2 linked regions of the Cricetulus griseus genome follow. The protein of the gene in region 2 interacts with the protein of the main gene of each other region in a biochemical or structural test. Links are inferred from orthologs where the notes say so. Each region holds a gene or a part of one and is shown on either strand. Other genes may lie near its edges.

Region 1 (15,613 bases), on a different chromosome or scaffold from region 2:
TTCAGCCTCCCTAATGATGGGATTACAGGCATATGCCATGAGGCCTGGCTAGAATGACCTTTATTTTGCCAAATGTGGCCTCTATTGTGATGTCAGAGATTAGGTTTAAATGGAATGTAGCTAGCTATCCATGATCTTTGGGAAGACGGTTTTCAAAGGGAGTCTTCTAAAACCTTTCAAGTGGAAGTCTCAATGAGCATGAACTGTAGCTCATATTGAGGGCAGAGATGGCTATAGCATTAACTATACCCTGATGAAAGCAACACAAGGAGACCAGATTGCAGATAACCTTGTGGACATTTGAAAGTAACTTTTTTATTTCTGATATTAAAATTCATGCTGGCATCTTTTAGTAAATAATACTGTTTTCAACCTTACCTTCAAGGTTGAGGGAATCATTCTGTGTTCTTGATGTTTGTTATGTTTGTACTATGTGATGCTATTAGATCATTCTGTGTTAAGGTGTAGACTTCCTTCTCTTGTGCTCAGAACATTTTTATTCCCCTTTTATTTTTAAGACTTCATTTATAAAGAAACATTATCTGGACATTGTGGAGCATGTCTTTAATCCTAGCATTTTGGAGACAGAGGCAGGTGGACTTTTTGAAACCAGCTGTCTACACAGCAAGTTCCAGGCCAGTCAGAGCTACATATATAGTAAAACCAAACAAAAAACAAACCTTTCAAATATGTATTGCCATTTGACTCATTTTGTAGTGCGCCTTAGGCTGGTTCCCATTGCTGTTCCTGTCCAAGGGTCCAACGGGCCAGATGGTATTTATATCAGTTTCTGTCCCCCTTTTTATATTTTTCTAAGTTTGGAATCCAAATAAAAGCATAAACCATGTCTTTATTCAGTATATTTGTGCATGGGAAAAAAAAAAAAGAGATTATATAGGTATTATAATAATTCTGAATACAGTTCAGGATATATATACATATATGCTGAAGCTTAAGAGACAAGCTGAGCAGCTGACCAATCTCAGAGCATCAAGCATGCATTTTCATCTCCACAACTTTAGTATTTTTTGCCAAAAGGAGATCTGAGCAAAGGAGAGTGCCGTGAGCGCAAGATCCGTGTATAAGGGCCACTGTCTGTCGAACTTTGGCAGGTGGGTGTTCGGGGAAGTAAGTTTCGAAGGAATGGTTTCTTTCCTGGGGGTTGATGATTTGGTTGCTGGTTTTCCTGGTTTGTTCCCAGCCGCTTTTTAGAAGAAGAAGCCTGGTTTTGGAGCTTTAGCACAGTGTGATACTGCTCAGCAATGCAGGCTGCCTTTTTCCGAAGGTCCAGTTTCACTAGCATCATGTTATTTTGTAGCTCAGCCAGGGTCTGGTTCTAAGAAACATACAAGTTAGAGAAAAAAAAATGTGCCATCTATTACTAGTTTCTTCAAAGGTTGAATCTTCAATGGGTGTGGTAGTACACACCTTTAATCCTAGCACTTGAGAGGCAGAGGCAGGCAGATCTCTGTGAGTTTGAGGCCAGCCTGGTCGGAGTTCCAGGACAGCCTCCAAAGCTACAGAGAAACCTTGCCTCAAAAAACAAACAATTAAAAAATCCTAACATTTCTAAATTCTAGGCCAGCCAGCACTAAATAGAGAGAACCCATCATCTTGTGAAAACAAAGACCAGAACTTTCAGCCTGTCCCTAGGTATCAAGTACCATGTTCAGTCTAAAAAGTATAAATTTTAAGATCTCTGGCATCAGGAGAGGTCATAGCTTAGTGGTGGAGTGCCTGTTTAGAATATACGAAGCATTGGGTCCCACCCCCAACATGACATCAGCATCATTTTTTCACTAGTACATCTTTGTCAGTTCCTTCTCACATATACACTGGAGGGGGGTAAAAAGGGGAGGGATATCTAGGCTGCACTCACCTGTTTGATTAAGATGTCATCACAGTTGGTCAAGGCTTGCCGAAGTTTCCCTGCCCCGGTGCTGTGGCAACAGGCCCTTTCTGCTGACTGGAGAGACTGTCCTAATTTCTGAAGCTCTGTCCGTAGCATTCTTATATTCTGAAAGAGTAGGAATCACATTGTGGCCAAAATCAATCATGGCAGCCATCTGAAGACAGACTTATGGAGGCTGGAGGTTGGTGAGGGCACTTGCTCCCCAAGCTTGACAGTCTCAGGAACCCATATGGAACCCATGTGGCCCCCACAGTACTACACACAAATAAATAAATGTAAAGCAAAAACTGGTTTTCCAAATAAACCAAAAACAAGCTCCCACGTTTTCACATAAATTCCAGATAAAGTGCTTTGATAACAGAGAAAGGTTAATACCTTCTGGCCCTCCTCTAACTTCTTATCTACATCAATGGTGAAGGGCTTGGCTGTCGGTGGTGGTTCTAACATTTGCTGATACTTCTGCAGCTCTGAGAGGGGGAAACACAATATAAGTACACTTAATATAGGTTTTTCTCAGCTTTTGGCTTACCTTTTTAACAGTAGTACATAGCCAAAGTGAGGCAATGTGCATTCTAGAGTAAGATGTGGGTGGATGCAGCTTGGAGTTTGAATACCAGCTCTTCCCTCGCCCACTACCACTGTAGGGCTTTCTGCCTTCCTTCCTCACCTTCAGTTGTAGAGTTTAACTCTGCTTTGCATTGCTCTAGTTTAGCTGTAACTTCCTGCAGCTGCTGAGTGGAGGCAGAAGCTGCCAACCTTTGTGACCGCCGTAGGGACAGTTCAGACCCTGACTGTTGAGCCACAGGCTGCTGCTGTTTGGCTTCCTGCAATAGAGTTTCTAGCTCTTCAATTTTTTCATCCCGCTCCTAAGAGGGAAGCAGAGAGCACAATTCTGTCCAGGGTCAGACAAATACCAAAGGACCAGATTAAACAAACATAAATCTTGACCTTGAACCCTGAACCTAAACTCAGTAACTGCAAGGCACTAAGGGAAATGAAGAAAAAGGAGTATACATTCCTGTTGTTACTAGAGTTTCTAAAACACCTTTAATCCTAGCACTTAGGAGGCAGAGAGGCAGGTGGATCTCCAAGTCTGAGGCCAGTCTAGTCTACAGAGAGTTCCAGGATAGCCAAGATTCTTATAGAGAGAAACTCTGTCTCACAAACCAAATTAACCAATAAATAAACAAATAAAAGTAGAAATTCTTTTTATTTCAGACAACTAACCGATGGAATTATGAGTGGCAGTTGGGACTGGTTGGGGCAAACTCACCTGAATCTCTTCTTGGTAGAAACTTGTCAATGATTCCTTCAGGATCTTTAGCTTCTCTTCATACAGTTCCTCCAACAGTTCCTTTTGGTGGTCTAAATGCTCACTGACAGAAAAGGGTAGGTAGTGAGGATTCTGAGGAGTGAAATTGAGGCACAAACCCACCCTTCTGCCCCCTATATCATAGTTGACTCAGAAAGGTCCAGAAATAGGGATGCAGAAATAAAGGGAACAGGAATATAGATATATAAAATTATAAGTCCAAACACATTTTCAAAAACAAAAACAACCCACAAAGCTGGCAGCCGCTCTTAACCTTCAACAGCTACTTTCTGCCTTAAGAGCAGATATCCTTGCCAGGCGGTGATGGTGCACGCCTTTAATCCCAGCACTTGGGAGGCAGAGACAGGTGGATTTATCTGTTCAGCTTGGTCTGCTTAGTGAGATCCAGGGCAGGTTCCAAAGCTACAGGGAGACCTTGTCTCAAAAAAAAAAAAAAAAAAAAAAAAACCCAACAAAACAGACACCCTGGCAGCCACTGTGTACAGAGGTAAATTGTCTCCTACCTCCCAGCTAGGCAGGCACAGCAGACCAAGGTTAGCTTCTAACTATTGCAGGAGGAGTTGTTGTATTCCCTTAATTTTTAAACCTTTCTCCTATGTGACTCTATTCTGTGCCTTGTGTTCTTTCAGGGACAATGAAAACCTGCTGTATCAACCACAGGCTTTTGCAAACACCCCAAGTTAACACCCTAACATCCTTTAACAAAAAGTTGTATAACTTAAAATGTAACGTGACCTCAAAGTTGTAAAAGCTCTTTGACCCAAAACAAGCCCCTATTGCCATTTTCAGAAGCCAGATCTCTAGCTGTGGTCCCAGTTAACTGGTAAGCTTTTTATTTCCCATGGTGATTTTTTTTTAAAGAAAGATTTATTTATTTGTTTTATGTATATAGCATTCTGCCTCTATGAATGCCTCACACCAGAAGAGAGCACCAGATCTCATTATAGAGGTTTAAGCCACCACGTGGTTGCTGGGACTTGAACTCAGACCTCTGGAAGAGCAGTTAGAAGAGCCATCTCTCCACCCCAATTTTTTGGAATAAAGTTTGCTTCTGTTTCAGACTTTGGTGGTCTGTTCCTCCAGTTTTTGTGCCCCTAGACCCAACAACTCAGTAGAAAGGGTCACTTGGCCAGTACCTGCACCATTGCTCCCGCTGTTGCATCTGTTCTACCATCTCATTGCAAATTTCCTCCCGGAGCTGCATCTCCAACTGCAGCTTTTCTTGTCGTTCCTTTAAAATCAGTGTTTTCATGGCTTCCACCACTTGTAATAGCTCCTAGAAAGAACACATCTGTAAGAGATCTTAAGATCCTCCAGCAGCAAAAGACCCAAACCCATCTGGAACACACTAGGGAAAATGTACAGCCATCAAGCTGCTATCTAGCGCTTTCTTGTATCTCACCTCCTTGCCATACATGGAGATGTCAGCTTCGTTTTCAGGATGGTCATCAAGGCCTGAGTCGGTGTGGTCTCCTTTCTTTAAGCCAGGGGATACCTGAAGACTGTGTTCCTTGATGAATGAATGCAGGGATGGGATTCCCAAATGTACAGGTGGGGCATGCACAAGCTACAGGAAGAAAAAAAAAATCTTAATTGACTCTTTAGTTCCTAAGAGCTATCCTAGGGTTGCCAGTCCAAAGTAAGCACCGTCATCCATGCCCATAGCTTCACACCTGGCTGGCAAGGGCCGAGAACTTGGCCACATGAAGAGTCTCATCGTAAGTGGATGCACAGGGATTCACATTGACAATCATACATGAACGGCCTCGACCAGTGAAGAAGCCTTGGAACACACGAGTCAACTTGCTGTCTCGGAAAGGAATCAGGTTCTGCTTTGACCTTGCAGAGAATCAGATAAATAGCATTGTCAACATAACTTCAGCCCTGGAAGTTTCTAGGCTCCAGCCTCACTGGTGACCTGTAAGTGACCAAATCACCAAGCCCCAGGCCATCCTTGCCTACAGCTTACCGGTTCTGCTGATTTTGTCGCAAGGCAGCAATACATCGACCCAGGGTATGCAGAGAAGTGTTAATGTTTCCTGCTTCCTTTAGCCGTTCACCACTTCTTTGATCTTTGCAGCGCTCTGAGCCAGCCAAATCACACAGTGACAGTCTGGATGGAATAATGTGTAGGATCTGGTATAAGGAACTCATAGCTTATATAATTCTGGTAAGGGAAGGGCCTACCTTTTTTTTTTTTTTTTTGGACCCAAAGAAGGAGAACAATTAATTCCTTTGAGAAGTTCCCCTTGCCCCCACAACTAGGTGGCCAAGATGATCACAGTTTTAAGTGGGAAAACTTACTCACTGATCTTGGGCACTATATCCCCTTCTCCCTGAAGGTGCAAGATTCTGATTGAGAAGATGCTGTGACTGAAAAGGAAGGGGAAAAAAAAAAATCACTATAATGTCTTCAACAATCAGGTGGAGAACTAAAGCTTCCTAGACACAGGGAAGAGTTAATTCTCATAACTTGCCTTCGACTAGAGTTCTGGTTCAGGTGGGTGTTAGCAAAGCTCTGGTTCTTACGACCCACTTTCAAGAGTTTCCAGGCTTCTTCAACATCTCGAACATGAATCCAGTTGAGGTCTGGGGTCAAGACAGAAAGGTGGGAACACTTAGCCCCTTTTCCAATTTGCCCACATGTCCCTCCTGGTTTCCTAGCAACCTGCTCTCCCTTTGCATACCTTTGACATAAGGATTGCCGTTTTGATCCTCACACAGCCGCAGTGTCTGTCTCTTATGCTGATGGCTAGGTGATTCTAACAGGTCATAAAGCAATTCATTGTAGATCTCAAAGAAGGAGATCCAGACAGAGAAGCGAATGTCTGCTGGGACACTTACTGGGGCAGTGTCTGGCTGTGCCCATGACTGACTTGTTTCTATGAAAAAAACCAAAGTGTTTGTAGTTCATTAACCAAGGAGCATTTCATCTTGCCTTGATCTATAGGAACTTCAAAAGATGGACTTCAAGTTGCAGTCTCTGACCTATACCCCTCACAGCTAGCTACTGGGTGTAGGGAGTGGGTCCCCACCATTGCCCAGCACAGAGCCTACTCATGGTACATACCATCCAGCTGGCTACTGCTAGTGAACTGACTGGTGGAAGAGAGCCCAGCAATGCCACTGTCAAAGCTGGTGCTGGTACCCAACCGACTGTCAATGTGGACACGTTTCTTCAACGATGTGGACAGCTCCTGAAGGGGCAAAGAGAGAAGATAAGCACAAGTCTTTCCTGAATTCTGTACTTTATCCCAGCTTCACCAATACTTCACCTCCTGGAGGCCTCCAGTTAGCAAGGACAGCTTCTTTAGTTCCTCCTGTCGAACCTGCTTGCTGTCCAGCCAGATTACCTCATTGGAGAGCAAGGGCTTCAGATCAGGTGTTGTATGAAGTTGGCCTTGGAGACTATTAAAGATGAGAGCCAAGGACCGAGGCAGGATCCCCCCATCCTTAATAGTACCTGGAAGAATATCAGAGATAGTGTCTTTCACTTGGCATCCAAAGGTAAAGACAACCATTAGATAGATGCTGGTTAGTAACCCTGCTGAAGCTCACTACTTACCTTGAACTGTGTAGGTTTTCCCTGAGTTGGTGACTCCGTATGTGTATATGAGCCAGTTCTGCCCTTTGAGTACATCCTTTACCATCTCCTTCACAGCCAGGTTGAAGAAGGGTGCCTGTCCCACTTCTGGTCCAAATATCTAAAACAGACCTGTTTATCAGAGGCCACACTGCCATGTTTCCTGTGTAGGACTAGTAGGTGTGCTCCTTCTCTGGGGACTACTCAAGCAGGTTTTCCAGCTGGACTCCAGCTGTTCCTAAATGCTGAAGACTCAATCCCTCTCTGCTAGTCCTTTTCTTCAAAATTAAATACTTAAGGACTGCTTTTTGTGATGCTGTGCATATAAGGGGATAGTATAATTGGGTATAAGCAAGGATTTGGAGATGGTGGCTCTAGATCCCAGTCCTGTCTTCCACTTACTAGTTCTATGGTTTCAGCAAAATTACCTTCATTGTAATATGAGCCATAGTATTCTCATCAGGGAAAAGAGATAATAGTAATTATAACAGGTGGGAGTGAATGCATATAAAGTACCCGACACATTGACTGGCACATGACAAGGTCCCAAAGTTATAGATACACACATAAAGAACTCACACTTAGGAAGAAATCTTTTAAAGAAGAAATAAAGCTGGGCAGAGGTGGCACACATCTTTAATCCCAGAAAAGATAAAGTATTGGGTCTATGTTCTTACACCAGTATTGCATACCTGGGAAAAGGTGAATTTGTGGGTAGCCTGACCAATTCCCCTCTCGTTGCTCTTCAAGGCAAAGGAATCTTTGGGTGCTTGTAGCATAAGGGTTTCTGTATTCTCAATACGGACACAGCCCTGAGAAGTAGAAAGTAGAGGTCACCATAGTAAAGAAGCATTCCTAGGGAGCCTCTTTTGTACTACACTATTCCACCTTAAATCCTCACCTGGTCTTCCTGTCGGTCCAACTCAGAAGTTAAGAAGGGTCTGATTCGAAGGTAAACTTTCACCCTCTCTGCAGTGTCCTCAAATGGAGCCTGTAACAGATTTCAGCCAGGACATAGAGTTAACCTCTAAGCAAATGGGCAAACAGCCCAGTTCCTGGGAAGCATGCTACCAATCCTATCTCAATGATCCTGTATCACTAACTATTCTTTGGTTCCACAATCATTCTAGCTCACATGAGCTTTGTATCCTTTCCTGTCTCATCACTGCCCTGCAAATCTGGCTTGCTATTCCAGTGGTCTGAGTTAGAATTGGTTGATGTTTGAAAACCAGCATGTACCAGGGATGGTGGTGTGTGCTTGTAATCCCAATATCCAGTAGTAAGAAGACATGGGAATCGGAAACTTAAAGCCAGTGACTGACTACAAAGACTACCCCCCCCCAATTTTTTTTTTTTAATTTATTTAACTTGGGTCCTCTGGAAGAGCAGGAAGGGCTCTTAACCCTAAGCCAATGTTCCAATTCAATAATTTTTTTTTCAAAGCTCAGTAATGAAAATTGGGTCAGCAAGATGGCTCAGCTTGCTGAACAAGACTGCCAACTTGAGTTCAATCATATGAATCCATATAAAAATGGAAGAGAACTGACTCTACAAAGTTGTCCTCTGACCTCCACATGTGTGTCCCCAACACACACACACACTCACACCACAGACACCATCAAATAAGAATAGACATGCCTGAATCTGAGTTCCAATTTAATCACTTAGTAATTAGGAGACCATGAACAAAGTTCTGAGTGACTTATCTGAAGAATGAAGTTAAACAGCAATCACTCTGTTTATTCAGCAGATATTTAGAGAATGTCTATTCCCAAGGACACTGAATTTCAATTAGTGAAAAGGTAATGCATCTGGTGGATAGCAGCCAGAAATGCTACTAAACATCTTGCCAAGCATAGGGCAGCCCCCTCCAACAAGGGTTTGACTCCAAACATGAATAGTGCCATTACTGAGAATCTTTGGCCTTACAAATGAAAGGTTAAAACAAAGGCAGCTATGGTTATTATTGAAACATGAATTCCATTCTACCTAGTTAAGGCCACTATGGTCATGTGCAAACATTGTATTGGTGCTAAGATCTGAACCTAGGACATACCAAACATGCATTCTCACACTCTCCATCCTTTCACCTCTTATTTAACATAAATAAATACTGGAGAAATAAGATTATCCCCTCATCAATTAACTGAAAACATGATGAACTTGGGGTATTTCAGGAACATAATGCCAATAATATTTTTCCCTCCTCTCCACCCCTAACAGGGTTACTCTGTCTAACAGTCCTAGCTATCTTAGACTAGCACTGTAGACCAGACCTTGAACTCACAGAGATCTGCCTGCCTCATGCTGGGATTAAAGGCATGTGCCATCACCTATTTTCCAATTGTTTTGCCCTGTTTGTTTGTTTGTTTGCTATTAAAAAGATTTATTTTGTATGCAGTGTTTTGCCTGTATGTATTCCTGCATTCCAGAAGAGGGTACTAGATCTCATGACAGATGGTTGTGAGTCACCATGTCGGTGCTGGGAATTGAATGTAGTACCTCTGGAAGAGTAGCCAGTGCTCTTAATTGCTGAGCTATCTCTCTCTCCAGCCCTTGCCCTTTTTTTTGTTTTGGGTTTTCGAGACAGGGTTTCTCTGTGTGACCGCCCTGGCTGTCCTCGAACTCACAGAGATCCACCTGCCTCTGCCTCCCGAGTGCTGGGATCAAAGGCTTGTGTCACCACCACCCAGCTGAGGATATCACTTTCTGCCTCTAAGCCACTCGACTCCTTTACCTGTTTGTCTTCCAGAGACGTGGAGATGACAGAGCACTCTGACAACAGGTCCTTTCGGATCACAGACCTCAGGTCTGCAGCTGTGGATTCAAACATGGGGGAGACTAGAACATCCTCATCGGACAGTAAGTCCGCCGGCGGAGAAAGGATCCCGTGATCCATGGCAAGGAGAGTCAGCCAACGACTAAAAAGAAAAAAAGTAAATGGGTAGAAGAACATTAACACACAGAAACTGCAAACCTGGGCAGGGCGTTGGTGGCACACGCCTTTAATCCCAGCACTCGGGAGGCAGAGGCAGGCGGATCTCTGAGTTCGAGGTCAGCCTGGTCTCCAGAGCGAGTTCCAGAATAGGCTCCAAAGCTACACAGAGAAACCCTGTCTCGAAAACAAACAAAGAAAGAAAGAAAGAAAGAAAGAAAGAAAGAAAGAGAGAGAGAGAGAGAGAGAGAGAGAGAAACAAACTGCAAACCTGTGGGCTGAAACCAATCCCCTGGTGAGGGGGATGACCTTGCCCAGGACACTCGGTCGCGACTATAAACCACTATCAGCCAAGGGGAAAAGAATGAGAATAACCAGCCCGAGGCTGCATTTCTGAAGGCGAATAGGCACCGAGAGGTAATCAGCTCTAAAAGCAGAAGGCCGCGCGCGCCCCCACAGAGGCTGTCTACAGGCCCACCAGTGCAAGTGTGTTTCAGGATCCCTACGGTACTTTTCCCAACCTCACTCCTAACATAACTGAGGCAACTCAAGGGATGACAGAAGACACGGCGGGGGGGGGGTGTCCTGAGGACTGTGCCACCCAGGCAAGAGCTGAAGCGCTCCAGCCCAATTGCACCTACCCGAAGACGGTCTACCTCGCTGCTTCTCCGGCCCAGCTCCCACCCAGTTGCAGAACGGAGACTCTACCGGAGAACACAACTCCGCCCACGAGGCGCAGCTTTGTCCCCGGACAATGTTTTAAATTGCGCGCTGGGCTCGTCCCACCAATCAGAACGCGAAGTCTGAAGAAACCAATCAGCGAATGGGAGGCGGCGGAGCCCACCGGGAGGCCGTTTGTCTCTAATGTGGGTCCGGTTACCAACTGTCGGGGATTCCAAGTTATTCGTTATGGGATTCGTTTCTCTCAACTCTGAAGCTCTAGCTGTAGACGTTTCTTTCCTGAGGCTTCAGCTGCTCTCCCTTGCCCTGGGTTAGTTTAAAAAGAAAAAAAACAAAAACTAAGGCTGACTTCTACTGGGGCAAACTGACCCACCCACATTACCCAGGAGGCCCCGCGAATGGACGCTGGTCCCGTATTTCCCAGAGTTCCCCGCGTCTTTCGCAGGCGTTGAAGACGTCGAAGCTAAAATGGCGACCGGGACGGGCAGTGAGTATCGTAAGCCGCTTTGACGTTCAAGGCCTTTGTAGGGCCGAGGCTCGGCATCCCATTTTCGTCATGCACAAAGGGAGTGTCCGAGGAGGGAGTTGTCAGAGACCTGCCTTCCGTGGCGCTCTCCGTCAGGGCCGTTGCCTGGGGTCTGAGCGTTGCAGGGATGAACGGAGGCTGGAGACGCCGCCGGGGCAGGGGGCCTTTGTGTGCTCGGCGCTGTCCAGGCTAAAGACCCTCAGCGTAAAGGCAGTACCGACTGGCCTGCCGCTCGCTTGTTTTTCTAACCAACCTGTGTGAAACAGTCGGAATGAGATCTGTTAACTGTGGGCGTTTCCTGCCGCCGGGGGAAAAATGCGTTTCGCGAATCTCCAGCCATTTTTTTTTTTTCCGGTTTCACTGACTAGCAGCCTTATGCGGGACGGCTGAGGGGAGGGGCTGGGGTGTAAACAAACAACTTTATGCAAAGGAGGAGGTGGGCAGTAGGAGCCGGTGGCCGCTGGGAATCTTGGGAAATAAGCTTGCGTTCAAACTGGAATAAAGTTATAAAACTGGGTCTTTAAGGAGATCCCCCCCCCCTTTTTCTTTAATTAAACGTAACACTGCCCCTTTTTTTGAAGCAGATCTTAAGGCCATGGCCTTTGAACAAATAAAATGTTCTATAAATGCGTATTCAGAGAACAGGTATCATGGCTGGTAGTGATTGTATTTTATTGGAATGATGAAAGTCAAGATTTGGTGATCATAAATAATTGGTGGTAGTAGTTCACTTTGTTCGAACAAGATTGAGATTTGTTTTGAGGCAGGACCCTGGCTGGCCTTAATCAGGCTTTTAGCTGTTCTGGGACTTAGAACTACCTCGGTGGTCATTTCTTTTTTGTTTGTTTTTGTTTTTCGAGGCAGGGTTTCTCTGTGTAGCTTTGGAGCCTGCCCTGGAACTCGATCTGTAGACCAGGCTGGCCTCGAACTCAGAGATCCACCTGCCTCTTCTTCCCCAGTGCTGGGATTGAAGGCGTGTGCTTCCCCCCCTCATCCCCCCACCCCACCCCACCCCTGCTGCCCAGTGGTCATTTCTGTTCTGTTTTTGTATTTTTTGAGGCAGGGTTTTTCTGTGTAGCTTTGGAGCCTATCCTGGCACTCTCTCTGTAGACCAGGCTGGCCTTGAACTCACAGAGATCCGCCTGCCTCTGCCTCCCTAGTGTTGGGATTGAAGTCATGCACCACCAACGCCTGCCCTCAGTGGTCATTTCTAAGTCTTCTTTATTCCCAGAGCACAAGCTGCTGAGTACTGGCCCAACAGAGCCATGGTCCATCCGAGAGAAGTTGTGTTTAGCATCTTCTGTTATGAGGAGTGGAGATCAGAACTGGTAAGAAATCTAAGATATCTGATTTCTTGGGCTGTAGTACTGAGTCTTTTCTTTTCTTTTCTTTTTTGTTTTTGAGACAGGGTCTCTCTGTGTGTAGTCCTGGCTATCTTAGAACTCACACTGTAGACCAGGCTGGCCTGAACACAGAGATTGCCTGCCTCTGCCTCCTCAGTGCTAGAATTAAAGGCGTGCTTCAAACTCCTCGCTGTGTAGCCTAGGATGACCTTGAACTCCTGATCCTGCTTCTACTTCCTGAATGCTATGATTATAGGCATGTACTGAGGCTTGGTTTTTGTAGTACGGATCAAATTAAGATTTCGTGCTTGCTAAATCAGCACTCTACCAACTGAGCTATATCCCCATCACCTTCAGGTTTTTTATGTGCTTCACAATATTTCCTGTCCTTTATTGTAGCCATACTGGTAATATAAAGTCATATTTCATCACCAGTTTTTTAAATATTTATTTGCGTGTTTGTATGTGCATAGAAGTGTAGAGGTCAGAAGGCAGCTTGCAAGATTTGTTTCTCTTTTTCCACCTTGTGGGTTCTAGGGATCAAACAAAGATCCAGCTGAGCCAACTCTTTGTACATTGTTGTTTTGTTTTGTTTTCCTCTGTAACAGCCCTAACTCACTGTCTTAGAGCTTTGTAGACCAGGCTGGCCTCCAACTCGTAGAGATCCACCTGCTTCTGCCTCCTGCATGCTAGGATTAAAGTTGTGCACTGCCACACCCAGCTTTGTTTTTGTTCTTAATTTTTATTTATTTTTATGAGCATTAGTGTTTTGGCTTCATGTATATCTGTGTGAGGGTATCAGGTCCCTGGAACTGGAGTTACCAGCCATGTAGGTGCTGGGAATTGAGCCTGGGTCCTCTGGAAAAGCAGCTAGTGGAAAAGCAGCTGGAAAACCTCTAAGCCCCCTCCTTTTGTTTTTTGTTTTTTTAAGACAGGGTCTATATATGTAGTTCAGGCTAACCTAGACATCCCAGTGATGTCCCCTTTTCAGCCTTCTCGCCTAGAATTACAAATTTGAGCCACTACATCTAGTTCCTTATTGTAGTTTTGATATGCATTTCTCTCTGTGTGGCATATTTTCATGTGGCCATATAGGCATTGTATATTTAATGGAGAAAGTTATGCTCAATTTTTGTCCATTTTTGATTTTTGGTTTTTTTTTTTTATTCCTTTCTATAATTGCATTATAATTCTTTGTGTATCTGGAGACTAATTCTTTGACAATTTAGAACTATTTCTCCTATTTTGTATGCTGTCTTTTTTTTTTAAGAATTCTTTTTAATTTATTTTTATTTTATGTGCATTGGTGTTTTGCCTGCATGTGTGTCTGTGTGAGGGTGTCAGATCCCCTGGACTGAAGCTACAGACAGTTGTAACCTGCCACATGGGTGCTGGGAATTGAACCAGGGTCCTCTGGTTAACTGTCAGTTCTCTTAACCACTGAACTATCATCTCTCCAGCCCCCAAGAAACATTTTTTTTTTTTAAGATTTATTTATTATGTATGCAGTGTTCTGCCTGCATGTGTCCCTGCCGGCCAAAAGAGGGCACCAGACTACATTACAGATGGTTGGGAGCCACCATGTGGTTGCTGGGAATTAAACTCAGGACCTCTGGAAGAATGGGCAGTGCTCTTAACCCATGAGTCATCTCTCCAGCCCCAAGAAACAATTTTTTAGTCGTTTATTTTTCATGTGTATGAGTTTTGCATGCATGTATAAAAAATTATATATATTTTTGTTTTTCGAGACAGCGTTTCTCCGTATTGCTTTGGAATTTGTCCTGGAATTTGCTCTCTAGACCAGGCTGACCTCGAACTCAAAAAGATCCACCTGTCTCTGCCTTCTGAGTGCTGGGATTAAAGATGTGTGCCACCAAAGCCCGGCTTGCCTGCTTGTATATTATCTAACATGTGTATTCTAGAAGAGGGTGTTACAGGAGTAACAGATGGAGTAAGAGGTTTTGAGGCACCAAAGAGGTTTTGAGGTGCTGGGGATTGAACCAAAGTCCTCTGGATGAGCAGCCAGTGCTCTTACTATTGAGCTATCTCTCCAGCTGTCTTTGCACTGTTTTGATTAGTATTGTTTACAGCACAAAAGTTTTGGAAACATTTTTTCAAGGTAGGGCCTCTTCTATATAGCTCTGGCTGTCTGGAACTCTGTCGACCAGACTGGCTTTGAACCCAACAGAAATCTGCCTGCCTTTGCCTCTCTAGTGCTGAGATTAAAAGCATAAGCCACCAGACCCAGCCAAAGGTTTTTATTTCTATTATACTACTTTAGTTTCTTCTGTTGTTTTGCTTGAGAATTGTCTAGGAAAATACTTATTTTGCTTTTTTTGTTTATTGGCTTTTACTATTAAATTTTTTACTACCATTGTTGTTTTGTGTGTAGCAGTGTTTTGCCTGCATGTATGCATGTGTACTATGAGTTTGCCTGGTGCCTTTGGAAGAAGTCTTGCTGAAATGTCTTTAAGTTGGTTATAAAGGTTTGTTTTTGTTGATAGCCTCCAAATCTTTATGTAGCCCCACATCATCTGATCTTGTCCTCAAGAATTTTTACCTCTGTCTGCTGTTTGTTGGGGTTATAGGTATATTCTAACACACACTCAGTTAGATATTTCCTTTCTCTTTTTTTGAGACAGGGTTTCTTTGTATGATCCTGGCTGCCCTAGAACTCTGTAGACCAGGCTGGCCTCAAATTCACAGAGATCCATCCACCTGCCACTGCTGGGATTAAAGGCGTGTACCACCACCTCCTGGCTCAGCTAGATAATATTTTAATTACAGAAAGTTGTGCATAGATTGGTTCCTACCTTTTAATTCAGTGGCTATGAACTTGGCTTTGTTGCTGTTGTTATTTTGATTACAGATATGTATGGTAATACTGTTCAGTTTTTCCTCTGTCAGGAAGTTAGTGAAGAGGTTTAATATAGTTATAGGCCCTGGTTGATAGAAAAAGCTCTTAGGGGATTAGTTTGGTTTGGTTTATTTTGGCATGGGGTTTCACTTTGTAGCCTTGGCTGCCTGGTCAGCCATATAGATCAATACCTGGCTTCTTTGAGGAGAAGGGTGGGCTGGAGACAATGACAGGATCTCTTTATTTAGTTCTGGCTGGTCTGATACTCATTGTGTAGCTCAGGCTAGCTTCAAACTTACCATAGCTCTCCTGTCTCAGCCTCCTGTTTGTTAGAATTAATAGTATACATTATACACAGTGAAAAATACTTCATAAAATTTAAACAGCTGGTACATGCTTTTAATCCCAGCACTCAGAATTCTGAAGCAAGGGGATCTCTGAGT
Region 2 (15,613 bases):
ACTAAATAAAAACTAGGCAAAGTACTGTGGCAAACACCTGTGGCTTCAGCTACCTGACTGGATAAGAAGTTCAAGCTAGCCGGGCATGGTGGTGCACGCCTTTAGTCCCAGCACACGGAAAGCAGAGGCAGAAGGATCTCTGTGAGCTTGAGGCCATCCTGGTCTACAGAGTGAGTTTCCAAAGAGAAAGCTACACAGAAAAACACTGTCTCGAAAAACCAAAATAGAAAAAGAAAAGAATTTATTCAAGCTAAGCTTGGGCAAAGATGTATATTACTTTACTTCTGAATATTTCAGGATTGTCTACTTTTTAGTTGTAAAATTACTTGCTAATTTTCTTTTTCTAAAGTTTAAAAAATATATGTGTGAGTGTTCTGCCTGCATGTATGGATGTATATGCACCACATATGTGCCTGCTGCCTGCAGAGGTCAGAAGAAGGCATTATTGGATCCATTGGAACTGGAGTTAGGGATAGTTGTGAACCACAGTGTGGGTGCTAGGAACTGAACCTGTATCTTCTGTGAGAACAAAAGTGCTCCTTACTGCTAAGCTTCTCTTTAGCCCATTTGTTCATTTTCATTGAGGGCAAAGAGAGTGTGTGTGTGTACATGGGACGGGGGCAGGGTCTTGCTATAGCCCTAGACCTTATTATGAAGACCATGGTGGCTTTGAATTTGCAATAATCCTCTTCCTCCTGAGTTCTTGGATTACAGATGTGCACCACCCACACAGACCAAAGGTTTTCCCTAAGTAGAAGTGGCAGAAAATAATTTTTCCCCACTAATTCTGTAGAGTGAGAATAGGAATAAAAGTTTATAATACTAAAAACATCTGTTATGTGAAACAGTACTATAGTTAAGAATTAAATACTGTTAAGAGTGTGGGACTGAGACAAGGTCTCTCTACATAGCCCTGGCTATCCTAGAACTCACTATGTAGACCAGATTGACCTCTAACTCAAAAGAGATCCATCTCTTTCTCTGCCTCCTGTGTGCTGAGAATAAAGATGTGTGCCACCATGCCTGGCCAAAAAAGAAAAAAAAAAGTGTTTCATTTCTGGGAAATAGTTTTAGCTACAAATGCTTTTTAAAACAGTATTCTGGAGATGCTGTGATGGAGGAAAATATAAAAGTTTGATCTCTATTCCTTTTGGAGAAGAATGTGAGTCAGAGGAAATAGTTTTGGTCTCAGGGGCAGAGGTGTTTATTCAACTACCTTGAGATTTTTATCTATTTCTGGACACAGTTGTGTTCCATTGTTGTGTTTTTCTGTCTTTAAGCCAGTATCCATTATCATACTATCATAGTTTATCATAGTCAGTTTTGAAGTTGTTCACTGATACCAGGATCGCCTTAACCTAAATTATTTGTATTTTTAAATAAACTTTAGAATTGATTTGGTAGTCTTTTCAAAAGGCAGTTATAACTGGGCTTGTGTTGTGCATGATTTGGGGAGTCATTTTAACATTGATCCTTATTCATTCATTCATTCATTCATCTAATGTGTGCATATGTTTTGCCTGCATGTATGTTTGTGCACCAGACTTGTGACTGATGCTTACAGAGTCCAGAAGGGGGAAATGGATCCCCTGGAACTGGAGTCACCATGTAGGTGCTGGGAATTGAACCTCCTCTTTAAGGGCAACTGTCTCTTCAGCCCCCATTGATTCTTCCTACCAACTATATAATATATCCTTCCATTTATTTGGATTTTCTTGATTATTTTTATTTGTTTTTCTCTCAGAGTGTTCTGTTGTATTGAATGTTGAGATCTTACACATGCAGTTAAGGAGTCTATTTGGCCTGGCATGGTGGTGCACACCTTTAATCCCAACACTCAGAAGGTAGAGGCAAGCAGAGAGCTCTAGGCCAACCTGGTCTACAGAGAGAGTCCCAGGACAGCCAAAGCTGTATAGAGAAACCCTGTTTTGTTTTTTTTGTGTTTTTTTTTCCCCTGTAGTTTTTTGTTTGTTTGTTTGTTTGTTTGTTTTTTAAACTGGGCAGTGGTGGTGTACACCTTTAATTCCAGCACTCAGGAAGCAGAGGCAAGTGGATCTCTTGAGTGTGAGGCCAGTCTGATCCACAGCACTCGGAGGCATATCTCTGTGAGTTCGAGGCCAGCCTGGTCTCCAGAGCGAGTGCCAGGATAGGCTCCAAAGCTACACAGAGAAACCCTGTCTCGAAAAACCAAAAAAAAAAAAAAAAAATTGTATTGAAATAAAAACTTGGGGCTGGAAAAATGTATCAGAGGTTAAGAATATGTACTGTTCTTGTAGAGGACCTGAGTTTGGTTCCAGTCACCCATTTCAGGGTGTTCACAACTACAATTAACTCCAGTTTCCGATAGATTTGCCATCTCTGACCTTTGTCGGCACCCATACTTATGTGTATGTAGGTGCATACACACATAGTTAAAGCTAAAAAATACTTTAAAAGAAAACAAAACTTATTTAAAAATCATACTAAAATGTCAGTGACTGAGTGGTTTTTAATCCTTGCCCACAATATTTACGTTTTTGGGGAATATTAGAGAAGTTTATTTACCTGGCTCCTTTCTAACTTATAGAATTTATTACATTTGCTTAGTTGTATTGCTTTGAGATTTTTGAGATTGGGTTTCACTATGTAGTCCTGGCTAATCTGGAACTCACTTTGTAGATTAGGCTGACCTTGAACTCATAGATCTACTTGCCTCTTCCTGGGACTGAGCCTGGCTCTTAGCATTTGTTTTAGAGTCTATGTGAAGTGACTGAAGAAATAGAAAAGTAATTAGATGTATTCTTTTTCTTGAAGAACACAGTCATTAGTAAGGAAGTTCCAATACTTCACTATTTCAGTCTAAGTGGCGCTTTTCCTAAGACTTGAAATGCAAAATTGAATTATAGTTAGACACAGTGGCACATGCTTGTAATCCCAGTGCGCCACAGACTGAGGCAAGAGAATGACCACAAATTTGAGGCCAGTCCAGGCTACATAGTGAGTTTAAGGCCAGCTTGGGCTAATAGCAAAAGTTAAAATTGTAGATCTTTGTAATTTCGCTACCAGTGAAACAGAATATGCCAGACCATAACTGATTTGAGCTTGAATTGAAATGAGTTTCAGAACACCTTCACATGCCATTTTGACAATCCTAGGTTCTTAGAGCCCTGATGACCCATCTCAGGACTATTTTGTCCCTCACTGCTTTTTACTCCTATGAACCACATTTGATTTGCTAAAATTGAGCATGAGCTGCTATGAGTTTCATTTTGTTTGTTTCTTCCTCCCATTAGGTCCAATACCTGCTTTTGCTTTTGGAAATTTGGAATATCAACATGATAGTTTTATTCCATCCCCTTCTTCATTTTCTTCAACTTTCAGCTAAATACTTTTTGCCTGTGCCCTTAATGTGAAAAGACCATTATTTATTATTAAGAAAGCCCTGTCAGCAAACATTGAATAAGACCATTGAATATACTTTCCATTCATATAGTTACCCTTTGAGCAGTACCTGGGAACCTAATTACTTAATATGTTCACTAAGCAAATCTCTCTTTTTATTTCAGTTGGAAAGACATCCTTGATCACCAGATTCATGTATGACAGTTTTGACAACACCTATCAGGTACTTTGTTTTTGCCAATTTGTTAAATTTGTCTCTTAATGTTAAAAGGAATGGTTAAGGTATTTTTAAAAGTTCATTTATTGGAATGCAGAGGCAGGCAGATCTCAGTGAGTTTGAGACCAGCCTGGTCTACAAGAGCTAGTTCCAGGACAGCCTCCAAAGCCACAGAGAAATCCTGTCTCAAAAAAAAAAAAAAAAAAAATAAGGTTCTTTTATTTACATGCAGTCGTAGATACAAAAATGCTCTCTATGGGCCACGACTTTAATCCTAGCAGTTGGGAGGCAGGTAGATCTCTGAGTTCCATCCCAGGACAGCCAGAGCTATCTACACAGAGAAACCCTGCCTGGACAAACAAAAAACAAGGAAAAGAAAAGAAAATTGCTTTCAATGATGTATACATTGTTATATAAACACGAAGTATAAAATAGTCTTGTCTGTAGTTCCAGCCTTACTCCATTTGCTTCTTTCAAAGTTTATTGAAAAATTATCTTTAATATTTTCTTAGATGGAATTAGAAGGGATACTAGATATTCTTACAGAGAATTCATCCAAGACTTCTAAGATTCCTTTTTGGGAATTGATTTCAGTTTATGATGTATAAAGGATTCAGGCCATCATGACAGGAAGGTTATAGTAGACTAACTAGTACAATTCACTTGTCAGTGGATCAGAAGCAAGGAAGGACACACCAGCACGAAGCTGCTTTTCCTTTTTCCTCTTTTTCTTTTAAAATTAGATTTATTCATTTTTGCGTTCGTGCATGTATATGCACCATGTGCATGCTTTGTGCCCATGGGGTCAGAAGAGGGCATTGGATCCCCTGGCAGTGAACTTATAGATGGTTGGTAATTTTAGGCTTCCTTACCCCACCTTTTTTTTTTTTTTTTTTTTTTTTTTTAAACCTTTTAAAATTCTTTATTATTTAACCAGGTACACAGAATTTTGCACTGTGTTTGGATCGCAGGAGGTACTTAGTATTGAATGACAAAGAGAAAAATTTGTTTTCCTTACTTTAATACATTACTTTATATTAGAAGAGTCCTGTCCCTTTGAGAATCATACTTCTGGGTCTCTGGCTGTCTGTGACACTAACAAGCAATTATGTGGGAAGTTTAGGCATGATTATGTTTACATTAACAATATTTCATAAAATTGCTATTGGGTCTGATAATAGCCATTCTGACTTGGGAACATTAAGATATTCAGACTAAGATTTGTATTCAGATATTTTAGTATTCTGGTACACACAAAAATCCCCATTGTCTTGTTCTCTATAAAATGTGAAAATTAGTTATCTTTCATGAATGAGGATGAGAATTGATCACATAAAGGGCCTGAGGTAATTAGTCTGCAACACAGAGCTAGTGCTTAGTATATGGAACATTGGCTTTTCTCACTTGGCTAAAGTGTGGTTACATATATATCCATTTTTCTTTCAAATTCATATGTCCTATTTGTATCCTAAACTGTTGGCTGCCAACAAACTATTATTTCTTGCTAACTCTTTTGTTTTGTTTTATAGGCAACAATTGGCATTGACTTCTTATCAAAAACAATGTATTTGGAGGATCGAACAGTGAGTAATATTTTCAGTGTGCAGTTTTCTGCAACACTCCAGGCTAGAAGACAAGAATCACAGGGGTAGTCAGCAATTGTCCCCATCAGAAGTGCTTTGGCAAAATCATCAAAATTAGATCTTGAGAAAAATTTATTGCCGAGTTGATTTGGCACTCTTGATTTCTTATTTCCATTTCACATCCAAAGGAAGAAAGTCAAAATTTGTTTGTAGAACCCTGATGTCCTTAGGCTTATTTTGCTGTCTTGATTTAGAAAAAGGAAAAAAGGCCACATGCCTTTAATACCAGCACTAAGGGGGGGCAGAGGCAGGTGGATCTCTGTGAGTTCGAGGCCAGGCTAGTCTACAGAGCAAGTTCCAGGACAGCCAGAGCTACACAGAGAAACCTTGTCTCAAAAAGAAAGAAAGGAAGGAAGGAAGAAAGAGGACAACAGATTAATTTATAAGAGAATTAATGGAATTTTCATGAAGAAATTAGAGCTGCTAAAGACCTTTTGAGCACCACTCAGATCATTCAGAAAGGTTTCATAATTTGTGGACTTAAAGACTTTGTCAGAGAAGAACATGTAACAGAGTGGTTGAACGGGGAAAATATATGTCAGATTTTTATCTTCCTTATTGTTGAGTGTTCCCTTAAAAAAATTATATTTTAGGGCTGGAAAGATGGCTCAGAGGTTAAGAGCACTTCCTGCTCTTCCAGAGGTCCTGAGTGCAATTCCTAGTAATCATAAGGTGGCTCACAACCATCTCCAATGAGATCTGGTGCCCTCTACTGGAATGCAGGCATACATGCAGGCAGAACACTGCATACACAATAAATAAATAAATAAATAAATAAATAAATAAATAAATAAATAAATACCACCAATTCTTATTTTAAAAAATTACATTTTGGCCTACTCCTCCTTGAAGAGACTCCTATCACCAGCTTAAACAGTGAATAACTTTAATGCACCCAAAATATTGCATTATCTCTAGTGTTTATTTATTTCTGAAGTATGGGTTTCTTTTCCTCTTGGATGTTTTCGTATATAATACAGCTTTTCTTAAAAACTTGAGAGTTTGGAATCTTTAAAAAAAAATTGCAGACACCCCCCCCCCCCCCATTATCCACAGTGTTCGGGGCAGAAATGTATAGAAGAAACATACACACAGTAGTCCCAGACCCAGGAAATACACATTTTAACTTTAGAGAGGATCTCAGAGAAGCATTACTTACTGTGTCATCTGATAGCTTCAGATTTGCATTAACATTTGCTTTCATTCTCTCTCAGTATTTGTAAATCAACAGTCTGCTTTTTCTTCTTTTCTTTCTTTTTTTTTTTTTTAAGATTTATTTATTTATTATGTATAGTGTTCTGACTGCATGTATCCCTGCACTCCAGAAGAGGGCACTAGACTACATTACAGATGGTTGGGAACCACCATGTGGTTGCTGGGAATTGAACTCAGGATCTCTGGAAGAACGGGCAGTGCTCTTAACCCCTGAGCCATCTCTCCAGCCCCTTTTCTTTTCTTTTTGAGACAGAGTTTCTCAGTAGCTTTGGAGGCTGTCCTGGAACTCGTTCTGTAGACCAGGCTGGCCTCAAACTTACAGAGATCCACCTGTCTCTGCCTCTCAAGCGCTGAGTTTAAAAGGCGTGCACCACCACCACCACCACCACCACCACCACCACCACCACCACCGCCCAGCCCAAGAGTCTACGTTTTATCATTTGGAAGATAAGATACTGGGATTCAAAGTTATGGGGAGGGATGAGGAAAACCTTATTTCTGATTCTGTGAAATCTTTCACAAAGCATTTTCAGTAATTGTACCTTTAAAACGAGCAACTTCATAATATTTCTCACTTTTCAGAAATGAGTTTTATGTTTTCATTCTTCTGTATTAAACCTCTACATGAGTTATGTACCACTCATATTACAAAACTCATTCCCTTTTTTTTAAGTATTAGTTTTTTTGGGTTTTTGTTTTGTTTTTCTGTTGTTTGTTTTTTTTTGGTTTTATTTATTTTTTCCCATCCCACAGATCAGGCTGCAGCTGTGGGATACTGCGGGTCAGGAACGTTTCCGTAGCCTCATTCCCAGTTACATCCGTGACTCTGCTGCAGCCGTAGTAGTTTACGATATCACAAGTAGGTATACTGCAATGGGTTGACCTTTCTTACTTTTCTTGCTTGTTTGACTGATTTTGTTGTTAGGTGCGATTGCAATTATGGGACACAGCAGGTCAAGAGCGGTTCAGGAGCTTGATTCCTAGCTACATTCGTGACTCCACTGTGGCTGTTGTTGTTTATGATATCACAAGTGAGTGGGGGGAATTATGCATTTCTAATCTTCTTTCAACCTTTAGCTTAGCTGCATGCATGTTTTGTCTTGTGCTTGTTTTCCTTACTGGCATGTAAAATGTTTTATCATAGCAAACTGTATCACAGACTAGCCAAATCAGAAATATTTGCCTCCATGTTTGTACCAATATGCTTTATGTCTCTGTGCCAGGGTTTTGATCTTCAGAAATTGTCTTTTGGATCTATTTATGAATCTTTTTCAAGGCTTCTATAATAGCCTCTTATCCATAAACTATCCTATAATTATAATTAAAGGAATATTATTCATTAGTTTATCTTAGATTTCAAAGATAATCTGTATAAGTTTCTTGCCAAGTATTGCAGATCCTACATGGCTTTTTTGGAGGCTTTAAAAAGTTTCTGCCAGCTGGAGTTTTCTCTGCTTACCCCTTCCAGTCATTCTCTTACATAGAGAAAAACAGAGAAACACAATGTGTATTTTTCTGTTAGTCATTTTTGTTTGAGTATATGGATTCTGTGACTGGTTTTCTTTGTTGCTAACACATTACACTTTCATTTCTCTCCAAGAAAAAATTTAAATGGAAAATAAAACAGTATTTTTATTTTCTTCAAGACCTGAGTGCCTTTTGGTCTTTAAGTGACTATAAAATTTCCACTGAGCATTGGTGACTGCTCTCTGGTGAATTTATCTTTATAAATTGTTTTATTACACATGTAAAGCAATGTTGAACATCATTCCATAGACTAGCCCATAATTTATGGGAAAAACAAGGTTATGCAGCATCTTGGACTTGTGTAAAAATACCATGTCTAAGCAGCTGATTTGAGCTAGTCATATTACTAGAAATTTTTGTATATTCACTCAAAAGTCATAGTTACCAAACAATAATTACAGTGGCAAAAATAAGAAGATTATATTCCATGATGTATTTTTCTTCTTTTTTTTTTTTTTTTAAACTTTTTTGGGTATGTGCTGTATGCTGTGTTTCTTCTCTTGCAGCTTTACTTTAGGTTGCTACTTGGGGTTGTTTTTGTTTTTTAATGTTTATTATAATGCATTGGCCTGTTTTGTAGCTTTAAAGTGTTTGTGTTTACTTTAACCAAAGCTTGTCGTAGTTTTCTTCTAACTCCACGAATGTGGTTAAAACACTAGGGAATTTCTTACTTTAGCTGCTAAAAAGCATATTGAAGTATTCTAGCTAGGATCTAATACTTACAAAGAATGAATTCAGTTAGAAGTGAACCTGATACATCAAACTAATGAACTTCAGGTTGCTTCACATAGACTCTAATACAAAACAAATTCAAGAGTCAGGCTCTGAGGTGTATACCTTTAATCCCAGGAAGAGGCAGATAGAGGTAGAAGAAAGGATTTTTAAAAATCTGGTTAAAGTGATCACAAACTAAGTAAGCAATGCAAGCACAGTGGTGTTGAAAGCCTTTATGAATTTTCTGGATGTGTTGGGACTTCTGGCTGACATACTTTTGAAATGCTTTCTTTGTCATGTTTGGTATGTATTAGTGTAAGTGATCAAAAAAAGCATTGTGGCAATGTAACACCATATTATCTGCTGTAGCTGTGTTTAGATGTCAGAAAGCTTTTGGTTTTTATAATTATGTATTACTTTTACAATAGTTTGGTTATTGTCAAAAAAGCTTTTCTCTAAAATGAACTTTGAATATTTTTTTTTCTACTTCAGATTCATCTAAATCACTGACAGTTGTAATCAGATAAAATGGAGTTACGTTGTAGGCACATTAAAAATGGGGTCTTAATGTGCTGTCCTCCCTTCCCTCTTTCAGGGTGTTTGTGGGAAGTGTTGTCCTTCACTGGGGGTGGCATTTTCAGTAACACTAATCCCTCTGTCCACTCTCAATGCCAGATGTTAACTCATTCCAGCAAACTACAAAATGGATTGATGATGTCAGAACAGAAAGAGGAAGTGATGTTATCATCATGTTAGTAGGAAATAAAACAGATCTTGCTGATAAGAGGTATGAAATAACTGAATGCTTGGTTTCTATGTTAAGCAGCATGTTTGTTTACTAAAAATTGGCTTTGAAAAGATGTTTACATTTTTAACAGTTGGTAAATTATTACATAAATTGTAACAGCAAATTGACATGCACTTTTTGCGTAAAACTTAAAATTACAAGGCTAAATTCATATGGTTTAATGTTTTTAGTATTTTTTATTTTTATTTGTGTGTGTACCTGCTTGTCTGTATATGCACTGCATGTGTTCAGGTGCCCACCGAGACCAAAAGATGGCATCATACTCCTTGGAGTTAGAGACAGCTGTGAAGGGGGTGGGGGGATGGGATGCTTACTCTTTGGTTTTTCAAAACAGGGATTCTCTATGCAATGGTCCTGGCTGTCCTGTAACTCACTCTGTAGTCCAGGCTGCTCTCAAACTCAGAGATCTCCCTGCCTTTGCTTCAATCCTGAGTGCTGGAATTAAAGGCGTGCATCGACACACCTGGCCTGACACTGTCTTTTTTTTTTTTTTCTTTTTTAAGTCATTAAGAGGTTAGGAGTACTGGATGCTCTTTCCAGAATAGTACTGGCTGTTCAATTCCCAGAACCCACATGATACTCACAACCATCTGTAGCTATAGCTCCAAGGGCTCCAATGCCCTCTTTTGAAATTGTCCATAGGTACTAATTATGCATGTGGTAAATAGACATGAAATTTAGTTTAAAAAGAAAGAAAGAAAAGTTCTTAAGCTGTATATGCTCGTTGGTAGAGCTCTTGCCTAACATGTTTAAGACTTAAGTTCAATTCCCAGTATGGGAGGCGGATATAAATATACACACAAACACAGACATGTAATGTACAGCTCTTAAATGCTACAAACAGTTACTAACAATATAACAGTTGTTTATATAACCAACACCAATAGAATCTTTGTTTATAATCTTAGGATTTCATCTTTCAAAAAAAAAAAATTGTTGCCAGGTCTGGTGGCATACACCTTTGATCCTAGCACTTGGGAGGTAGAGGAGTTCGAGTTTTAGACCAACCTAGTATACAGAGGGAGTTCAGGACAAACAGGACTACACAGGAAAACTCTGCCTCAAAAACAACCCAAATAAATAAAATAAGAATTTGTCATTACTTTTTTTTTCTATAGGCAAGTGTCAATTGAGGAGGGAGAAAGGAAAGCCAAAGAGCTGAACGTTATGTTTATTGAAACCAGTGCAAAAGCAGGATACAATGTAAAGCAGGTAAGTTTTCTTTGAGTGTGAAATGTTTGTTCCTAAATTAAGAAAATGTGAAATAATTGTGAGTAAGCTAATGTTTAGTGCAAAGTTTTATTTCATTTAGCAACAGCAACTAGAATTCATAGAGTGAGAAAAAAGTAATGCAGGTGATGGTGAGTGAGTCCATGAGAGACCAAGTAAAAGGATATCAGCTATTTATTGGGGAACACTTACAAATAACAGTAAGATAGAGAGCCACTGGGGTCTTCTGTTCTGTCCTGGGGTCAATGGAACACAAGAGAGCCAGAGACCCCCTTTCTAAGAGATCACATCCACACATAGAAATCACGCCCCAAGACTGGTTTCCCCAAAACTGTTGGCAAAATGAATTCGCGCAGCACGTTCCCTTTTTTGTAAAAAAAAGAAAAAAAAAGTATTTACAAAACTGTTCAGATTTTACACAGGATAACAAATTCATTGTGATTGCAATATTTCTGAGTATAAAGTTCTGAACTTCCGAAGTCTTACTACATCCCTGCTTCATTGTCTTAAATGTAGACTTTCCTTATTTCAGAATTTGGTAGTCAAGACTTACACATGAAAACTACTATTTGACTGCTGTAAAAGTACATTCTTATTACTTCATTTTTTATAAATTGATGGTACTTAAATTTTACAAAAGGAAGCTGGGCAGTGGTGGTGCATGCCTTTAATCCCGGCACTCTGGAGGCAGAGGCATGACAATGTACCCATGGCTACATCCCCAAAGTTGGGGTGGGGGGGTGGATTTCTGTCCCCAACAACTGTCAGTGAAAATAGCTTCTCAGCTAAGAGTAGGGCCTTGTTAGCTCCTCCCCAACCCATGCTGAGATGTTGACTGGCTTGTACTTGTGCAAGTCTAGGTAACCACAGCTGATGTTAATGAATGCAGAGTCCATATCATATCAAGAAGGCACCATTTCACAGCATTCCTCCCATTTTTCAACACTTAAATTCCTTCAAACCCTTTTCTGAGATGTTCACAGTGCCTTGGGGGTGGAGGTGAGTTAGTGAGCACTCACATGCTTATTTTCAGCAGTTTGACCAGTTATTAGTCTCTATATTAGCCACTGTCCACTGCAGAAAGATTTTGTGAACAAGACTCAGAGCTGAATTAGTAATCTATGTGTGGTGGCGCACACCTTTAATCCCAGGCCTCAGTAGGTAGAGGCGGGAGGATCTCTGTGAGTTCCAGGACAGCCAAGGCTACACTGAGAAACCCTGTTTTGGGAAAAAAAGAAAGCATCTAATTGGGGGGCTTGCTTACAGTTTCAGAGGGTGAGTCCATGGCGATTATGGGGAGGTGGGGGGCGGGACTGGAAGGCAGGCATGGTACCAGAGCAGTAGCTGAACACTTACTTACATCTGATCCTTGAACTGAAGGCAGAGAGAGAGAAAGAGATAGCTAATTGGGAATGGCTGGGCTTTTGAAACATTTCTTCCCAAACAGTTCCACCAACTGCAGAGCATTCAGACATATGAGCCTATGGGGCCATTCTCATTCTAACGATCACACAAATAAACAACTAAATATATAAATACAGTTTACTGAGTCCATTCGGTGTTGCAAGCACAAAAGTTTCTAGGGCTGACTATCTGGTACTGGATAACTTATTAGGGGGCTCATCTCTGGGGAAGACTAATTCTCCCTTTCTCAGAAATTGTTAATTGCTTATAGCTCTTCTAGGAATGGAGTCCAATAAGATTTTCTCCATCTACATTGTGATGCCAGCTGTTTTTGGAATAAGTTTTAGGCAGCCTAGTTGGGAGATTTTTAATTACTGCTTCAGGCTCATTGCTTGTTCTGGATCTATTTAAATTATCTCATTTTGGTTTAATTTTGGTAGATCATATGCCTCTAGAAGTTTATTCATTTTTTTTTTAGCTGGTCCACTGTAGTGGAATATATGTTTTTTTAGTTTCATTGGCATTTGTTGTAAGAACTCCCTTTTTATCTGTCTCTCTGTTTTTTTGTTGTTGTTGTTGTTTTGTTTTTTTGGGGTTTTTTGTGTGTGTGTGTGTGTGATTTTTCGAGACAAGGTTTCTCTGTATTGCTTTGGAGCCTGTCCTAGAACTCAATCTGTAGACCAGGCTGACTTCAAACTCACAGAGATCCGCCTGCCTCTGCCTCCCGAGTGCTGGGATTAAAGATGTGTGCCACCAACACCCGGCAATAAATAGATTTGTTTATTTGTTATGTACACAGTGTTCTGTCTGCATGTATCCCTGCATGCCAGAAGAGGGTACCAGATCTCATTAAAGATTATGAGCCACCATGGGTTGCTAAGAATTGAACTCTGGTCCTCTGGAAGATCAGTCAATGCCCTTAACCTCTGAGCCATCTCTTCAGCCCTCCCTTTTCATCTCTAATTTTATGAATGGGGGTCTTTTTGTTGGTCAGTTTGACTAAAGGATTATCTTATTTATCTTTTCAAAAAACCAACTCTTTGTTTTGTTGATTCTTTGTATCCTTTGTTGTTAATTCCTGATCATAGTGATTTCTTTCCTTCTACTGATTCAGTTTGGCTTCTTGTTTGTTTGGTTTTTTTTTGTTTTTGTTTTTTTTTCTGGATCGTTAAGGTGATTTTCCTAATGTAGGCATTTAGAGCTATAAACTTCCTTCTTAGAACTGCATTCATTGTATCTCAAGGGTTTGTTGTGTTTTCATTTTCATTTAATTCTAGGAATGTTTTTTAATTATTGTTTGAATAATTCAAGGACCCATTCATTGTTTGGTTGTATTGTTTGATCTCCATGAGTTTGTGTGCACTCTAGGGTTTCTATTGCTGTTTTCTTCAAGCTCAGATATTCTGTCCTCTCTCTTTCCTTGATCCATTCTATTACTGAGACTTTCCATGAAGCTTTTTATTTGACTTTTACTATACTTTTCTAGCATTTCAGATTGGTTTTTCTTCAGTATTTGTTTTTGTTGAATCCCTCTTTTATAGCATCTATCACCTTAACTATTTTGTCCAGCTGTTTGCATGTTGAACATAGGTCTTACATTGAGTTCTCTGGGATTTCATCTGATTTCACTAGATGCCATTATTGGAGGGTTAGTAATTTTTTGGAAGAGTTATGTTATCTGTATCTGGGTTTTTGTTTTATTGCATTAGGGGTTTTACAAATGGGTTTGTTTGTTTTCTGTATTCTTTCAGTTGAAGTATTTGTAATATTCATATGGGACTTGGATATGCTAAAATTTAATATGTGGTCCATAAGCTCAGGATGCCTGGTATAAGTGCCTTGTTGTCCCCTGAGTTAGGATATTGACTTGGAGAGAGAAACTATAGCTGTTTGATTACACCACTGTGCAGAAGTCATACTATCCAGTTTATAGTTGAGGATAAACAACCACAGGTAGTTCATCAGAGTAGGCTTCAATTTTAGTAAGATTAGGAGATTAGTTAGTAAGATTGGGAGAGACATGGGGTGGGTAAGGATAAGGATTACATATTAGATCAATTTGGGGTTGGGGGTAAAAATTGGGATGGTGCTGGGCAGTGGTGGTACACACCTGTAATCCCAGCTTTCAGGAAGCAGAGGCAGGCAGAGGAGTGAGTTCGAGTTCAAGGACAGCCATAGCTGTTATACACAGAGAAACCCTGTCTCAAAAAAAAAAAAAAAAAAAAAATGAGATGGGAATAAAATAGTTCCTTCACATCCCTACATTTACTATGACCTCTCCTGGTTCTGCAGATCTGGTGTATGTCCGGAGCACATGGTTCCTCTTGTCCTGTTACTGTGTTACTATGTATTGTGTCAGATCTATTAAACAGTTTACATTTTGGTGTGCTAATGTTGGAGATATGTATGTATGTATGTATATATGATTTTTTTTATCACTGTATAGTAGCTGTAAGATGACAGTAATAAATCCTTACTATCAGTTATCTTGAAGGTCTTAATTGCCTTCTTGATGCAGTCATCTATGTGAGGAGTAACCTAAAAGCTATGTCCTTTGCTTGCCAATCATGGTCATCATCTTAATACCTTCTCTTCTCACAGCTTTTCCGACGTGTTGCTGCAGCTTTACCTGGAATGGAAAGCACACAGGACAGAAGCAGAGAAGACAGTATCCTTTTTGTTTTTAAGGAAAGTTTACTGTCTAGCCAGGTGTGGAGGTACATGCCTTTAGCCCCAGCACTTGGGAAGCAGAGGCAGACAGGTCTCTGTGAGTTCGATGCCATCCTGGTCCACACGGTAAATCCAGGACAACCAGGTCTATGTAGAGAGCCTCTTTCTCAAAAAAAGACTTTTTTTTTTTTTTTTTTTTTTTTACTACTACTACTACTCTTTGGAGCCATACTTGAGAGGTTTGTTATTTGCTTGTTGCTGAGACAAACCACCTGACAAAAGCAGGTAAGGATGGAGGATTTGTTTGCCTCACTTACTGTTAAGACACTGCCTGCTGATCCTGTGGGGCAGATACAGCAACAAAATCACTCGAGATTGGGAGGTAATTGGCCATGGTCTGCGGTCAGGAAGCAGAGGGCAGTGCTGGTATTCTGCTCTCTTTCTCCTTTTTATTTAGCCCAGGACCCCAACCTGTGAAATGATGTCATCCATATCCAGTGTGGGTCTTTACACCTCACACCTCTCTGGAAACTTCTCAGACACTCAGACATTTATCTCCTGGATATTAAGAATTGGGGGTGGGGGGGCGCTGGAGAGATGGCTCAGAGGTTAAGAGCACCGACTGCTCTTCCAGAGGTCCTGAGTTCAATTCCCAGCATCTACAACCATCCGTTATGAGATCTGGTGCCCTCTTCTGGTGTGCAGATAATCTTTAAAAAAAAAAAAAAAAGAATTTGGTTAAGTTGCCAATTGAGATTAACTGTTACAATTGGTTGACTATTACCTTGAATGTAGAAATTGGTT

The links.
Region 1: the proteins of Rab6a (region 2) and Kif20a form a complex in vitro, tested with the Homo sapiens proteins (2 studies listed by BioGRID). The link is inferred for Cricetulus griseus from reciprocal best matches to the Homo sapiens genes RAB6A and KIF20A.

The regions. Positions count from the first base shown.
Region 1 is NC_048595.1:202,845,234-202,860,846, forward strand, and holds Kif20a (kinesin-like protein KIF20A), read right to left. Parts: upstream 10,544-15,613; 5' UTR 10,405-10,543; intron 9,750-10,404; 5' UTR 9,728-9,749; coding exon 9,566-9,727; intron 7,820-9,565; coding exon 7,730-7,819; intron 7,641-7,729; coding exon 7,521-7,640; intron 6,950-7,520; coding exon 6,811-6,949; intron 6,709-6,810; coding exon 6,521-6,708; intron 6,443-6,520; coding exon 6,316-6,442; intron 6,128-6,315; coding exon 5,933-6,127; intron 5,835-5,932; coding exon 5,723-5,834; intron 5,619-5,722; coding exon 5,550-5,618; intron 5,359-5,549; coding exon 5,215-5,358; intron 5,085-5,214; coding exon 4,919-5,084; intron 4,813-4,918; coding exon 4,648-4,812; intron 4,522-4,647; coding exon 4,382-4,521; intron 3,289-4,381; coding exon 3,186-3,288; intron 2,779-3,185; coding exon 2,580-2,778; intron 2,380-2,579; coding exon 2,288-2,379; intron 2,018-2,287; coding exon 1,880-2,017; intron 1,337-1,879; coding exon 1,019-1,336; 3' UTR 833-1,018; and 1 more. Other genes in the region: Brd8 (bromodomain-containing protein 8), read left to right, coding at 10,913-10,931, 12,202-12,298. UniProt on the Homo sapiens protein: Mitotic kinesin required for chromosome passenger complex (CPC)-mediated cytokinesis. Following phosphorylation by PLK1, involved in recruitment of PLK1 to the central spindle. Interacts with guanosine triphosphate (GTP)-bound forms of RAB6A and RAB6B.
Region 2 is NC_048596.1:98,874,693-98,890,305, reverse strand, and holds part of Rab6a (ras-related protein Rab-6A), read left to right. Parts: intron 1-3,545; coding exon 3,546-3,604; intron 3,605-5,127; coding exon 5,128-5,181; intron 5,182-7,209; coding exon 7,210-7,315; intron 7,316-7,381; coding exon of another isoform or gene 7,382-7,487; intron 7,488-9,372; coding exon 9,373-9,484; intron 9,485-10,623; coding exon 10,624-10,717; intron 10,718-14,740; coding exon 14,741-14,807; intron 14,808-15,613. UniProt on the Homo sapiens protein: The small GTPases Rab are key regulators of intracellular membrane trafficking, from the formation of transport vesicles to their fusion with membranes.